2 linked regions of the Diceros bicornis minor genome follow. The protein of the gene in region 1 interacts with the protein of each later gene in a pairwise test. Links are inferred from orthologs where the notes say so. Each region holds a gene or a part of one and is shown on either strand. Other genes may lie near its edges.

Evidence for each region.
Region 2: the proteins of HSPB1 (region 1) and NVL interact in binary tests that used the Homo sapiens proteins (3 or more experiments, as listed by UniProt). The link is inferred for Diceros bicornis minor from reciprocal best matches to the Homo sapiens genes HSPB1 and NVL.

Annotation. Positions count from the first base shown.
Region 1 is NC_080765.1:3,494,536-3,500,485, reverse strand, and holds HSPB1 (heat shock protein beta-1), read right to left. Parts: upstream 2,106-5,950; 5' UTR 2,047-2,105; coding exon 1,677-2,046; intron 1,053-1,676; coding exon 989-1,052; intron 900-988; coding exon 710-899; 3' UTR 586-709; downstream 1-585. UniProt on the Homo sapiens protein: Small heat shock protein which functions as a molecular chaperone probably maintaining denatured proteins in a folding-competent state. Plays a role in stress resistance and actin organization.
Region 2 is NC_080777.1:9,450,569-9,458,635, reverse strand, and holds the start of NVL (nuclear valosin-containing protein-like), read right to left. Parts: upstream 3,075-8,067; 5' UTR 2,865-3,074; coding exon 2,808-2,864; intron 1-2,807. UniProt on the Homo sapiens protein: Participates in the assembly of the telomerase holoenzyme and effecting of telomerase activity via its interaction with TERT. Involved in both early and late stages of the pre-rRNA processing pathways.

The DNA.
Region 1 (5,950 bases):
TAGGACAAGGGCAGACAAAGGTGGGTGTGACTGTTCCTGCCTGGGACAGTCAAGGCAGCCCTCCTGGAGTGACCGCCTTCCCAGTTAGGACTCTGTGTCTCTTCCACCAAAACCCGGGCCACATTGCCCTCACTCTCTGCAGGACGCCCTTGGCCTGAGAGCCCAGGCCCCACCCTGCAGGCACGGGTGTGCGGGAACAGGTCCTTCGACTAGGCCAACCTCCCCTCAGAAAGTCACCTGGAGTTGCCACACCTCCTATACCGTCTACAGGGTCCTGCTCAAATCTGGAAGAATAATGAAGTCAGGAAGGGACTCTGAGCTCCCAGGAAGCTCCCCTCCCTCAGCCCTGCTCCGTCCCCCTTCACCTGACCCTAGCCTAGGTGTCCCTGAGGGCCCAAGCCTGGGCCAGGTGCCTCTCCTGGTTTCCCCGCTCCCACACCTGCCCCTGTGATGGACACCACTGTACCCACAGGGCCCAGCATGGGGCTTGGCACACAGCAGGCCCTCAGCAAATATGATGAATGTGTGAGCCAGCAGATGGCACTGACCCCTAGGCCTCCACAAACACCAGGGTCTGAGGCAGTAGCAGGCAGGGACTTGAACTTTATTTGAGAAAAACAGAAGGTGAATGTATCAAAAGAGTATACAGATTGGCAGGTGGGGATGGTCAGTGGTGGCTACTGGGGGGTAGGCAGCAGGGCTAAGGCCTTTACTTGGCTCCAGGCTGCTCCGACTTCCCAGCTTCTGGGCCCCCCAGCTGGGCACGTGCCTCGAAGGTGACAGGGATGGTGATCTCCGCCGACTGGGTGGCTGACTTGGGAATCGGGGCCTCCACGGTGAGAGTGCCCTCAGGGGACAGGGAGGAGGAGACCAGGGTAGGGTCCACACCTGGGGGCAGCCTGGACATGCAGAGAGAGAAGCCGAGAGTTACACACCAGTCTGTCACTGCACCCTCCCCACTCCCCCACAATCTGGCACCAGGACTTACGTGTATTTTCGAGTGAAGCACCTGGAGATGTAGCCATGCTCGTCCTGCCTCTCCTCGTGCTTGCCTGGGGGGAGAGTGAGGTCAAAGGTTGGGGGGAGAGGCCACCTCAAAGGCCTGCCCCCGTCCAAACCTGCCCCACCTGCCCCACCGGGTGGCCGGGATTCATGGCCCCCAGGATTCATGGAGGAGGAAAAATGACTACGGAATTTGGGGGCCCCGGACTGTCCCGGGCCCTAAGAAGCTTCTGGAAAGCTCAGTTCAGGGTTTGGGGGGGGTGGGGGCGTGGCGCCAGGCTCGTGCACACGCCCCTTCCGCAGACCAGAGCTAGGGGCAGGGACAGAGCCGACAACGTCCTCTTCACACTGACCGCGGAGGGGGGGGGGAGGCGCGGGTGGGCGCTGCGAGACCTGGTCATTGGGGGTGGGTGTGGGGGAGGGGTGGGGGTGTCTCCTTGGAAGGGAGCGTTTCTTCCCTTAATAGCGCGTTTTTACGGCCGAAAGGCCCTTAGGAGGTCCCCGCAGGCCCCATTCTAGAGCAGGGGGCACGGGCTAGGGGGCAGGGCGGGGAGGCCAGGCCCAGCCGAGGGCTCTGGCCTTCGGTCCTTGGCTAATTTTTCACTGCCCAGGCCTCTGGCTCACGGTCCAACCCCCGCGCCGCCAGCTTCGTCGCCGCGGGGCGGGGGGCTCACCGGTGATCTCCACCACGCCGTCCTTGGTCTTGACGGTCAGCTCCTCGGGGGCGAAGTGGTTGACGTCCAGGGACACGCGCCAGCGGTCGGCGGTCTGCCGGATCTCGGAGACGCCGCTGCTCAGCTGCCGGCTGAGCGCGCGGCTGTAGGCGGGCACGGCCACCGCGCCGGGGCCCTCGATCGCCGCCCCGGGCAGCGGGCGCACGTAGCCCGGCCAGCCGCCGTGGCTGAACCATTGCGACCACTCCTCGGGCAGCCGGGGCAGCCCGAAGGCCTGGTCGAAGAGGCGGCTGTGGGCCGGGTACCAGTCGCGGAAAGGGTCCCAGCTGGGGCTCCGCAGGAGCGAGAAGGGCACGCGGCGCTCGGTCATTCTTGCTCGGCTCTGCGCGTCTGGCTGCGGCTCGGAGAAGTGCTGGGCCCGGCCCCGCAGCGCTTTTATAGGCCTCCAGACGGGTATTTTTAGCAGGCGGTGTTTCAGGTCTCTATTAAAGGCAATGACGGACTAGGGGCAGCTCCTCCCCCGCATCCCTCCCTCTGCATACCGGGGTGGGGGCGGGACGAGGAAGGCCCGGCCCACATCTGGAACCTTCTCTTGTTCAAGAAAACAGATGACTGGAGCACCGATGCTGGTGCAGTGCTCACTGCCGGACACTCGCAGGCCTGGGCGCTAAAGTGCTGGGCCGCCGACTGTGGGCAGTCCTATCCTTTTGTCCAAGGGGGCAAAGCTGAGAGAGGTTGGGCCGCCTGTCCCAGGACACACAACTAGGAAGTGGCAGATCCAGGATTTGAACCACCGAGTGTCTGTGAAAGAATGTCTTAAGAAGCAGGCTGGTGGGGTTTTCAGAGTGTGAGCTCTGAGGCCAGACTGCCTGAGGTCACATCCTGATTCTGCCACTAATTGGAGGAACTTGTGTGAGTTAGACTCTGGGTGCCTTAGTTTCTCCATCTGGAAAATGGAGACGATGATAATAATAATGCTTACATCATTGGGTTGGTGTGAGGATTCAGCAACTTAATGCAAGTAAAGACTTCAGTCCAGGGCCTGGTACATGATAATGATTAGTTATTGTTATTTTTGTCCACCTGAAACTGAATAGAGGGACGAGGAAGGAGAGTGTGCATGTACCCCTATTGCAAAGGCAGTGCTTGTGTGGGTTTGGCCATTTTCTCTGTTCCCCCTAGGGGGGCTGGCCCAGGTAAGATACCCCAAGGCCCAGTGCTGAGAGGGGGTCAGGAGGAGGTTATTGTGAAGTCTCCCCATCATATCTGTCCTTCCTTGAGGAGCCCTGCACAGGGAACCTGAAGGGCCACAACCTTGACTGTAGTCTGGGCTTTGCCATGGACTTACTTGTGATTCGGAGCAAGGCCCCTCCTTTCTCTAGGCCTCAATTTCCCTTTTTGCAGATTATGATCTCAAAGCCCCTTTTTTGTTGATGATTCCCATGGCACAAAGGGCAAGGGGGCTCCAGGCTGCGCAGTCCACTCACACTGCCTGGAGCCTGAGGCCTGCCCCTTGACCTCACCTCCTCTCTCTCTGACCACTTATGGATCCAGGCCCCCATCTCCCAACTCTGGGAGAGGGCTCTGCCGCAGGCTCCTGCCGTAATCCTGACGGTCCCTCTCTCTTGCCTTCACATGCACCACCCTGGTCCAGCCTTATTTCTCCCCACTTATGTCCTATGATCTTTCCTTTTTAGATGAGGAAACTGAGGTTCAAAGAGATTAAGTGACTTGCCCACTGTCTCCACTGGGACACTAGCAGAGTAGCCTCTTACCTCTCTAGTGCCCAGGGCTCTTGCTGTTGAGGGCTCCCATCTTGGAGTCCCCCCGCCGTTTCTCTCTTTCTTGCTTGCTGCCCCTCTCCCGGGGCTGGGCTGAGGATGACCTCCTGCCAGTTCTGTAGGGGGCCTTTTGCTACCCAGGACACCTGAGGGGCTGGAAGCCAGACTCTGAGCCACTCGCCTTGATGAGTTGGGGGTAGCACCAAGTCTCATGCCCTCTCTGAGCCTCAGTTTCCTCTTCAAGAGAGAAAGCTCCTGGATGCTCTTCTTCCTTACCCACCTGCTCCCCATCAGAAAAGAGCTGAGGCTGGGCATGAATCTGAGGTCACCTCTGAAAAGGCCTCTGAGCTCCTGGGGCTCTCGTGGGCCAAGGGTGGGAGGCAGACAGGACCCATGCCCTCTGCTCCACCTCCCTTGCTGGATCATGTCATGAGCTAGTGGGTCTGAGTTGGGAGCTACTGGGCGTCCCCCAAGGGTCTCAGCTTCAGGAAGCCCTAGGCCTTCACTCCCTGGCACTCCCAGCCCCACCTTTCCCCAGCTCTATAAAGTCGGGGTGAGGTCAGGAGCCTGGAGGGCTCTCGTCCACGCCTGCCTGCCCGCCTTGGCCCAGACTGGAGCCCAGGTGTCCCACCCTAGAGGGAGCTGTCCGGTGTGGTCATGGATGCTTTCAAGTGTGGCCCTGCCAGGCCCAGTCACGCTCTGGGTGGGGCTGCCTGGCTGGCTGCCAGCGCTTTGCAGACACAAGCTCCCTTCATAGCTCCCTTCATCTGCCTGAAACCAGGACAGGGAGGATTTATTCCCACTGCCCCAGCCAGGGGAAGTTGTGCAACCCAAGTTGCAACCCGCACAGCACTCTGCCCACGGTGGGTGGGGAGGCAGAATTGAGAATTCACATCCATCTTCAACGGGGCAGTTCTTGAGGGACTCTTAGATCACCCTGCCAATCACAGGGAGGGGACAAGGGTGGCTCTGGGTGGTGGTAAGAGGGTGTAGGGTATGTGGGAGAAACTGGCTTTTGGGGTCAGACAGCCTGGGCTTCAATCTGGGTGCTGGTGTTCACTGGCCTGTGACCTCTCTGAGCCCACAGGTCCCCATCAGCAAAACATGACTACTAATGTGCCCATCTTGCAGCGGTGAATCTCAGATGCAATAACGTGTGTGAAGTGCCTGGTGCTCAGTGAAGTGTCCATCCTTATTAAGGGAGGAGGGCCTTTCATTGTTTAGATGTTGAGACTTAGACTAATGAAAGTTACCCAGATGTACGCACTTTATATAGAGTGTCCAAGTATCTTATCAGGCTCGTGAGTCTCCTGATTCTGGTGCTGGAGAGACTTACCAGGCCGTCCAGGGAGGGCTGTGGGTGCAGGGTGAGGTGTGCAGCCAAAGGTTGCCTGTCGGGATGGGGAGGGTTGGGCCAGGCTCCCTGGGGTCCCTCCAGCTCTGCCCAGGTGCCCTTCCTCTAGGAGGTTGCACCCCTGCACCCAGGCACAGGGCTTGGAAAGAGAAGCAAAGGCTGACGTCAGCTCCTCTTGCCCACCTTCCCAGATGTTCTTTGACAATCTTCCACTCTAGCATTGGGGCACTGAGCTGCCAGGAGTAGTTTTTCTGAGATTATGAGGATAAGTCCACCCCCCAGGGATTTCCCAGAAGCCAGGGGGACTGGAGGTAGATGGGCACTGCAGGGTCTGGGATTCCTTAATCACAAGGGCCCACCCATCATCCCTAGCCCCAAAGTCTGGGGTACTCTGCCGCAGCCCCAAGACCAGCCTCCCAGCCTCCCAGCCTGGCACTGTGCCTGAGGCCTTGGCCGCATAGCCACACCCTCGGCAGTTCTTTGCCAACTGCGCTGAGCCATTCTCTCCCTTGCTGGCCCAGCCTCAGAGAAAGCGCTGGAGTCTTCAGGCAACTGCCCGAGCTCCCCAGAGAGGCCTGACAGCTGACGGATTGCACCAGTCGCTGGGCCTGCTGGGAACTAAAAATGTGGGCAGCAGTAATTAGAGTGCATGGGGTGAGGGGCACCAGGTCTTTCTGGAAGCGTCTAGACACTGCCCCTCAGGGAGTCCATTTCCATCTCCAGTCTATCCCCTAGGCCTCTGGCTTCTGGCTGGCCTTGGGGTCACTTCGCACCCATCACTGCTGAAGGGGGGCCAAGGAGGGGCCAGGTGGGAGGGCTGGGGATCCATCCTCTGGCCCCTCCCGCCCCGCTGTCCAGCAGAAAGAATCTGTCTAGCTTGGGAGTCTGGGGATCTGCATGTCTCTCACTCTGTGACCTTGGCTGGCGGCCGGCTCCCGTGACTCATTTTCTTCATCTGTACAATGAGACCATTGGACTGGATGTTCTCTAAGGCTCCTTCCAGCACCGTGAATCAACAGTTTCTCCTCCACTCTCCTTCCTCCCCCCCAGGTCCCCTGCACCGACTGCCCACTCTGCCTGCTAATGCTGCTGGAGCGGGTGTGTATATGGTGAGTGGAGGCAGGGGTGAGGGAGGACCT
Region 2 (8,067 bases), on another chromosome or scaffold:
TGAATAAAGTGAAGCAGCAAGTTGTGGGAACATCCAGAGGAGAAGTAATTCAGTGAGCGAAATACAAGAGCACAAGCCCTGCACTTGGCATGTTTGAGAAGATCCATGTGGTTGGGACAGTGTAAGCAAGGGGGAGAGCAAAAGGACAAAAAAGTAGACATGGTCAGAATATGTAGGGCTTTGTAGGGTGGGTTTTACACCAGATGTCTGCGAGTCCACTGAAGGGTGCTGAGCAGGGCCCTGGCAAACTCCAATTTTCCCTTTAAAAGCATCTTCCTGAAATATCTGCCAATCATACATCCAACAAGGGGTTTATTTCCAAAATATATAAAGAACTCATACAACTCAACAACAAAAAGATGAACAACCTGATCAAAAATGGGCAGAGGATATGAACAGACATTTTTCCAAAGAAGATACACAGATAACCAACAGGCACATGAAAAGATGTTCAACATCCCTAATTGTTAGGGAAATGCAAATCAAAACTACAATGAGATATCACCTCACACCCATCAGAATGGCTATAATCACCAAGACAAGAAATAACAAGTGTTGAAGAGGATGTGGAGAAAAGGGAACTCTCATACACTGCTGGTGGGAGTGCAAACTGGTGCAGCCACTATGGAAAACCGTACGGAGATTTCTCAAAAAACTAAAAATAGAAACACCATATGATCCAGCTATTCCACTACTGGTTATTTATCCAAAAAACATGAAATCAACAATTCAAAAAGATATATGTACCCCTATGCTCACTGCAGCATTATTCACGATGGCCAAGGTGAGGGAAGCAATCCAAGTACCCATCAACAATGATGGAAACCTACTCAGTCATAAAAAGACAAAATTGTGCCATTTGCAACAAGTGAAATAAGTCAGACAGAGAAAGACAAATACTGTATGGTTTTACTCATATGTGGAAGATAAACACACACACACACATAGATAAGGAGAAGATTAGTGGTCACCAGAGGAAAAGGGGGTGGGGGGAGGGCAAAAGGCATAAAGGGGCACATGTGTATGGTGACAGACAAAAACTAGACTATCGGTGGTGAACACGATGCAATCTATACAGAAACTGAAATATAATAATGTACACCTGAAAAATACACAACGTTCAAAGCCAATATGACCTCAATAAAAAAACAATTTAACAAAAATAAATAAATAAAAATATTTTCTACAGCTCTAAAATAAATAAATATATAAATAAATAAATAAAAGAAAAGGATCTCCTTGGCAACTCTCTGGGGAACAGACTTTAGGTAAAACTAGAACCAGAGAGCTCAGCTAGGAGGTTAGTGCAATAGTCTAATAAAGAGATGGTAGTGGGCCGGCCCCGCGGCTTAGCAGTTAACTGCGTGCGCTCCGCTACTGGCGACCTGGGTTCACATCCCGGGGACGCACCAACACACTGCTTGTCCAGCCATGCTGAGGCAGCGTCCCACATACAGCAACTAGGAGGATGTGCAACTATGACATACAACTATCTACTGGGGCTTTGGGGGAAAAAAAAAGGAGGAGGATTGGCAACAGATGTTAGCTCAGAGCCGGTCTTCCTCCGCAAAAAGAGGAGGATTAGCATGGATTTTAGCTCAGGGCTGATCTTCCTCACAAAAAAAAAAAAAAGAGAGAGAGAGATGGTAGTTTGAACTAGGATGGTTGGAGGAGGAGATGGTAAAAAGTGGTTGGGTTTGGAGTATATTTTGAAGGTAAAGCCAAATAACTGTTGATTAATTGGTTATAGGAAGCAAAAGAAAGGAGTCAGAACGATTCTTAAGATTTTTGGCCTTAACAGGATGGATGGTGGTGTCATTTACTGAAATAGAAAACACTTAAGAAAGGACAGGTTTGGAGGAGAATATCACAAGTTCACTTCGGATATGTTATGTTGAAGATATCTGTCAGACGTTCAAGAGGAGATGTTGAGAAGGCAGTTGGATATATCAATCTGGAATTCAAGATAAAATCTGCACTGGAGATATAAATTTAGGAGTCATGAATATATAGACAGTATTTAAAGATATTAGACTGGATGAGATCACCTGGAAGTGTGGATAGATAAGAGAGAGCTACGAGGATGAAGAAAGAGGAGGTAAGAGCACAGGAGCTCCGTGCACTTCCAACATTTAGAGACTGGTAGGAAGAAAGGGATGCAAAAAGGAGACTGTATAGTGAGGTGGGGGGAAAAAAAAAGGAGAGTATATAGCTCCCAAAGTCTATTGTGAAGAAAAATCGCCCCCTCCTTCTAAGACTGCCTGCTGACTGTGGCATTCCAAGACATTTAACACACATTGCTTTCTACTGATAATTAAGAAAACGAAAAAGCCATAGGTAAAGTGCCTATTATAACGTCAGATCCGTGTTACTTACTCTTACTGTGTCGCAACCTGACCCCGAGTTTCCTGAAAACAGAAATTAATGTATTCTTTGTGGCCCCCAAAGCGCCTCGTAACAATGTGGGCGTCTGAAAAACGTTTCTGACCTAACTTCACAAGACAGGAAGATTTTAACTCAAAGGCTAGCTCCACCCTCCTTACGGATCTGGGCTGAGGTCGATCAGAGCCGAGCAAGCCCACCAGGCTGCACCCTCCCACGGTCCGGGGCTCCTCCTTGAAACCCCGCCCCACGGTGAAGAGCGCAAGCCTCACGGAGGAGTGGAACTGTCAACAGACCCACGCCCGAACCCAGACTGGGGCAAGGGGCTAGCGGAGTTCGGCCTGGGAGCAGCCCGGGAAAGGGCCAGCGGTGCCCTTGGGCACGAAGAGGGAGCACTGTGAGCCCCAGCCGTGCAGAATACCCACCTGGATGACTCGCTGCTTCAGCTTATTATCCACGAACCTTGCAGGTCTGGGCTTCATCGCGGACACTGTCCCCGCGGCCGGCTCCACGTGAACCGGGGACCTTCCCGGGGCTGCCCGCGGCGACCGCCGGGCCCGCTGCACCCGAAACGCGCCCCGCCCGGCCTAGCCCACGCCGCTCCCCTCAGGACTTTTGTCCCGCGAGTGAGGAAAAAAAAAACCCGAGAAAGAGGAGAAGTCTTGAAAACATCAGGGAGTTTCTAGGAGTCTTATTTTGCAGGCTTGTCCGACAGGTCCTGGATGACAAGGCCCCGTTTGAACAAGCTCAACTTTATTGTTCCCGGCTGTGCGGACACGTGCGCGCGGTGGCCGCCGGGAGGTTCCCACCTGGGCTCTGTCGCCAGTGTCTGTTGGTAAACTTGTTTCCTTCGTCGTGTTCCAGCTGTAACAGCCACACCCTGTTGGGTTACAAAGTTAGTCTTGGCCTGGAATCCTAACAAAATTAAAAGCTAGATATTTGGGACTGACGTTGTGGAAACCTTGTTTGTGACTCGTTTTACACTTTCCAGTTCTTTCCCTGAGACTTCATTCAGTCTTGCATTACTGAATCGCCTCTGGCTAGGAGCGAAGAAATTTACTTTAGGAGGTGATCAGTGACTTTAATCACCTGCCTACGTGTCCCTTGAGGCAAACTTTACTTTGGAATGCGAGGACACATCTTATTCATCCGTCCCCATGCCCTAATCTTTGAGGCTAACCAGACCACCTAATACTTTCTCTTTTGACATTTCTCCACAATAGTAAAATAGGTAAAAATGGTATATAAAGGCCCTGCACAGAGTCTTGCACTGCAGCTCCTTACTGCCCACGGGTCCTGTCCCCATGCTGGAACACTTGCTGCAGCTCCTTACTGCCCACGGGTCCTGTCCCCATGCTGAACACAAAATAAAAGTGCGCAAACGAAGGAGCGGCTTGTGTCTGAAAATTCTTATTCTGCTCGCGACTCAGCGGCCCCACTTCAGGACGATTAAATCAGGATAAAAACACACTGCCACCCTGATACTTGGTTTTCCACCTAATTACCCACATTATCAGGCGGGAGAAAGGGGCTGGGTGTCAGAAGAGGAAGGACTGGTTTACCCCGATAACTAAACCATCAGCTCCATTTGGGAATCCTTTGATCTTATGCTATTTTCGCCAGAAAATTTGTTGAGCACATCCAGTGCAAGACTTCATCTTGGTCTGGAAACTGCCCGGGATTTTATTAAACGTATGTATTTGCCCCAAGAAGTTGATCGTGCAGTTAAGGAAACACAAATCAAGGGACAATTATTATTAATCCAAAAAGAAGACGAAAAAGAAGAAAGTTGCCAGCTTTAGTTTCTGTTTGCTTGCTTGTTTTAATGTTTTCAGTATTCTTATTTGAGGTCTTATTTGGTTTATGACAATATTAAGTGCAGCCTAAGTAGTGTGTGAAGGTGTGGAGAGGCGAGGAGAGGAGATGGAATTAAGATAAGATGGTGAGATGTTGACAGATAACTTTCTCTTCTTATTCAGGATACCGCTGACTTTTCCGTTTATCTTCTTACTCAGGATACCGCTGACTTATTTTCCGTTAAGAGTTCAGATCATATCACTGCTCTTTTCAATGGTTCTTTTCTGTACACTGAATAAAATATAGATTCTCGCTCTGATGTTCAATACATTGGTCAACTTGGCTCCAACTTCATTTCAGTTTTTCACTGTATATGTTCTCTGCTTTTAGCTAAGTACCATTGCCTATATTTATTGTCAGTGAATGTTTGTTGAAGGCCTACTATGTCAAAGGCACTGGGTACAGCTGTAAAGAAACAAAAGATTCCTGCTTCTGTGGGGCTTACAGTTCTATTGGAAGATAATGATAATAAACAAATTAATAAATTATACACAGCACTTTGCTTATTTGACATTTTTTCCTGTCTGCAATGCCCTCTTCCTGGCCAACCTGTGACCTTCAGAATCCTAGGTAACAATCTCCCTTTCAACCTTTCCTGATATTTCCCTTTGTTAAAAGCTCCACCCGTTGAACCTTCCTCTCATTCATTCAACAAGTGTTTATTGAGTGCCTACCAGTTTCAGTCCCTGCCCTGCGCTTGAGTTCTTGTGGGGAAAAGCAAAAGAATTATAATTTTAACTTTGTTTTTTATTTGGTGAGGAAGAGTGGCCTTGAGCTAACATCTGTGCCTATCTTCCTCTATTTTATATGTGGGACGCCACCACAGCATGGCTTATTGAGTGGTGTAGGTCCACACCTGAGATCTGAATCTGTAAATCCTGGGCCGCTGAAGTGGAGTGTGCCAAACTTAACCACTGCACCACCGGGCTGGCCCCTAATTGTAACTTTTTATAACATCTCTTTTCATCAGATCAAGTATTTATGTGCTTGATTAGGGGCCGGCCTGGTGGCGCAGGTGGTTAAGTGCCCACGTTCCGCTGTGGCGGCCCGGGGTTTGGCAGTTTGGATCCTGGGCGTGCACCGACGCAATACTTGGCAAGCCATGCTGTGGCGGCGTCCCATATAAAGTGGAGGAAGATGGGCACGGATGTTAGCCCAGGGCCAGTCTTCCTCAGCAAAAAAAAAAGAGGAGGATTGGCAGATGTTAGCACAAGGCTGATCTCCTCACAAAAAAGTAAAAGGAAAAAATAAAAAGAAAAAAAATAAAATATGTGCTTGATTATATTAAACTTTAGCAAAGATTCCCTACAGCAAATAGCACAAATATAGTCAATGCCCAGTAACTTTTTAAAGTAATTTAATTCTGTGCATGCCAAGTGTACCACAGAGAATCAAAACAGGCTGAAGAGCTCAGCAGCAGCACAACACATACCAAGCAGCATAGTTTATTGGTCTATAATTTGTCACAGAGTAGTATTCTGTGTTTAGGGTTGGCTTCATGGATGTGTGACCTGTGCAGTCACGAAGGGCTTTGTGCTCAGGAGGGGCCCACACATGGTTTAATGCTCTTGCTGTTGCCATCTTGAAATTGTTAATACTTATTGAACAAGTGGCCCCTTATTTTAATTTTGCACTGGGCCATGCAAATTAGGTGACCCATATGGACCTGAAGAACTCTGGAATGCTAGCTTCTTAAAGGCAAGGAGTGTGTTTTTTACCTCTTTACTGCATCAGGTGCGGTAGTCAATAAATGAAAGTCAGTTAATATAGGTACCAATAATGGTGTGCTTGAACCTTTTCCCTTGGGATTATATCCGACAATTATTGCCCTGAAGACAATTTCACAGTAGCATACATCTAAACCAAAAAGATTACTGAATACTAGTAACTTCAGTGCATAAACGTCTCAAGAACTTCCTGCGGTAATTGAACCGTCCTCCGTTCTTTAGTGGTGCAACCCCCCCTAGCGGTAGTGGCACATTTCACCTGTTGTTCACACCTTCGCCCTCCAAAACTTTGTATCTCACTAGCAAACAGCCCCTTGTCTAATTGTGCTTTATAATCGGGTGACCTATGTCCTGATTTACTCAGAACAACCCTGATTTTTGCCTGTTGATCCAGCTTAATTATTAATAGTATTCCCTTTGTGGAAATAAGTGAAAATCACCCAAATGAGAGCAGGCAAAGACTATTCAGAACTTCTAATAGAAAGGGAGTCAGTCACCATCACTGGCATTTTGGCAGAGACTCAAAGGCAGGCAGAGGAATGGGAAAGTTTATAGCTGAAAAAGGGAAGCCTTCAAATGTGCCCTGACTGAAGACTATGAGCATGGGGAAGCTGTAGGTGGGCTAACTAGAAGCAGGGCATCCTTTGTGACTAGTTAAGGGAGCATATTTGTCTTTCTCTAGTTGGTCCTAAGTTGGAAGCAGTGAGAAAAATCAGAGAAGCTGTCAGTTATTAATGGAGTCTTGGCCACTTGGGGCCAATTGTTACAGGATTTATTGTTTGGCTTCCTGGATTGTTTGCTAGAGACAGTGATCTAACTTTGTACAAGTCAGACTTATAGATATCAGGCTGGCTTCCTGGGTTGGTGGCTGCAGATGGTAGGCTGGCTTTCTGAGCTGGTTGCTGCAGATGGTAGCCAAAGTTCTGTTTTTATATATGGTCTGGCCGTTCCTTCATATGGTCAATTTCTCACCTTTTTCTCTCAAAGGGGTTTTAATTTGCACAATAAATTATATGGTCACCCTATGTATAGCAGAAACATGGAGAAAAAGGTGAGAGTGTGCATGGCAGAGGTTCCTTACCAAGGAGGTTCAAAAGGGAGGTTGTCTGCTTGCTGGGAGCTGCAGACTGAGTCTGTATCCATGTTTTCTGAGGTTAAGAAAAAAAACCCTTTGGGGCTGGCCCCATGCATAGCGGTTAAGTGCGCACGCTCCACTGTGCAGCCCAGGGTTCCCAGGTTCAGATCCTGGGCACACACTGACGCACTGCTTGTCAAGCCATGCTGTGGCGGCATCCCATATACAGTAGAGGAAGATGGGCACGGATGTTAGCTCAGGGCTAATCTTCCTCACAAAAAAAAGAAAAGAAAAATTAAAAAACTCTTTGATATATTTGTTTAATTTGGTGAAGGCTAATAATTCAGTTTTCTAATCAAGTTTGTCCTCCTTTGAAATGATCGCCTCATTCATGTCCCTCATCTTGAAGAGAATGAATATACTATTTTGAGCTAGCATTTTCTGCATTCAGTCTACAAATGTTTGTTGTTGACTATACGCTAGTTACTATGCTGAAGTCAGAGGATACAGTGATGATCAAACAGATGTGGTCTTGGAACTTATGTTCTAGTGAGAGGGACTGGCAAAACCATAAACATATAATTACAATAATGAGAAATAATGCAGATTTCATAGTCCTTGGAACAGTACCTTTCATGTAGAAGGTTTTCAGTGAATAATTGTTAGTAAATGAATGAAAACTGTGAAGAAAATAATCAGGCTACTATGATGGAGAATAACAAAGGGAGCCTACCTCAGTCTGAGCGATCAGGGGAAGACTTTCTGAGAATGTGACCTATAAGGACCCTAAGGAAAAGCGTTTCAGGTAGAAAGAGTATGCAAAGGTTCCAAAGCAGAAAAGTTGACCTGTTCTAGGAACAGAAAGAGAGAAGAATAACTTGTTTCTTGTTTAAATCACCATTATTTGAGCATTCTGTCATTCACATTCAACATTAACTTGAGTGAATATAGGTTATTTGGAGGAATTTCAGAAGTTGAGTCTAAGATAAATGAGAAAGAGCAAATGGTCAAGAAAAGCCAAAAGAT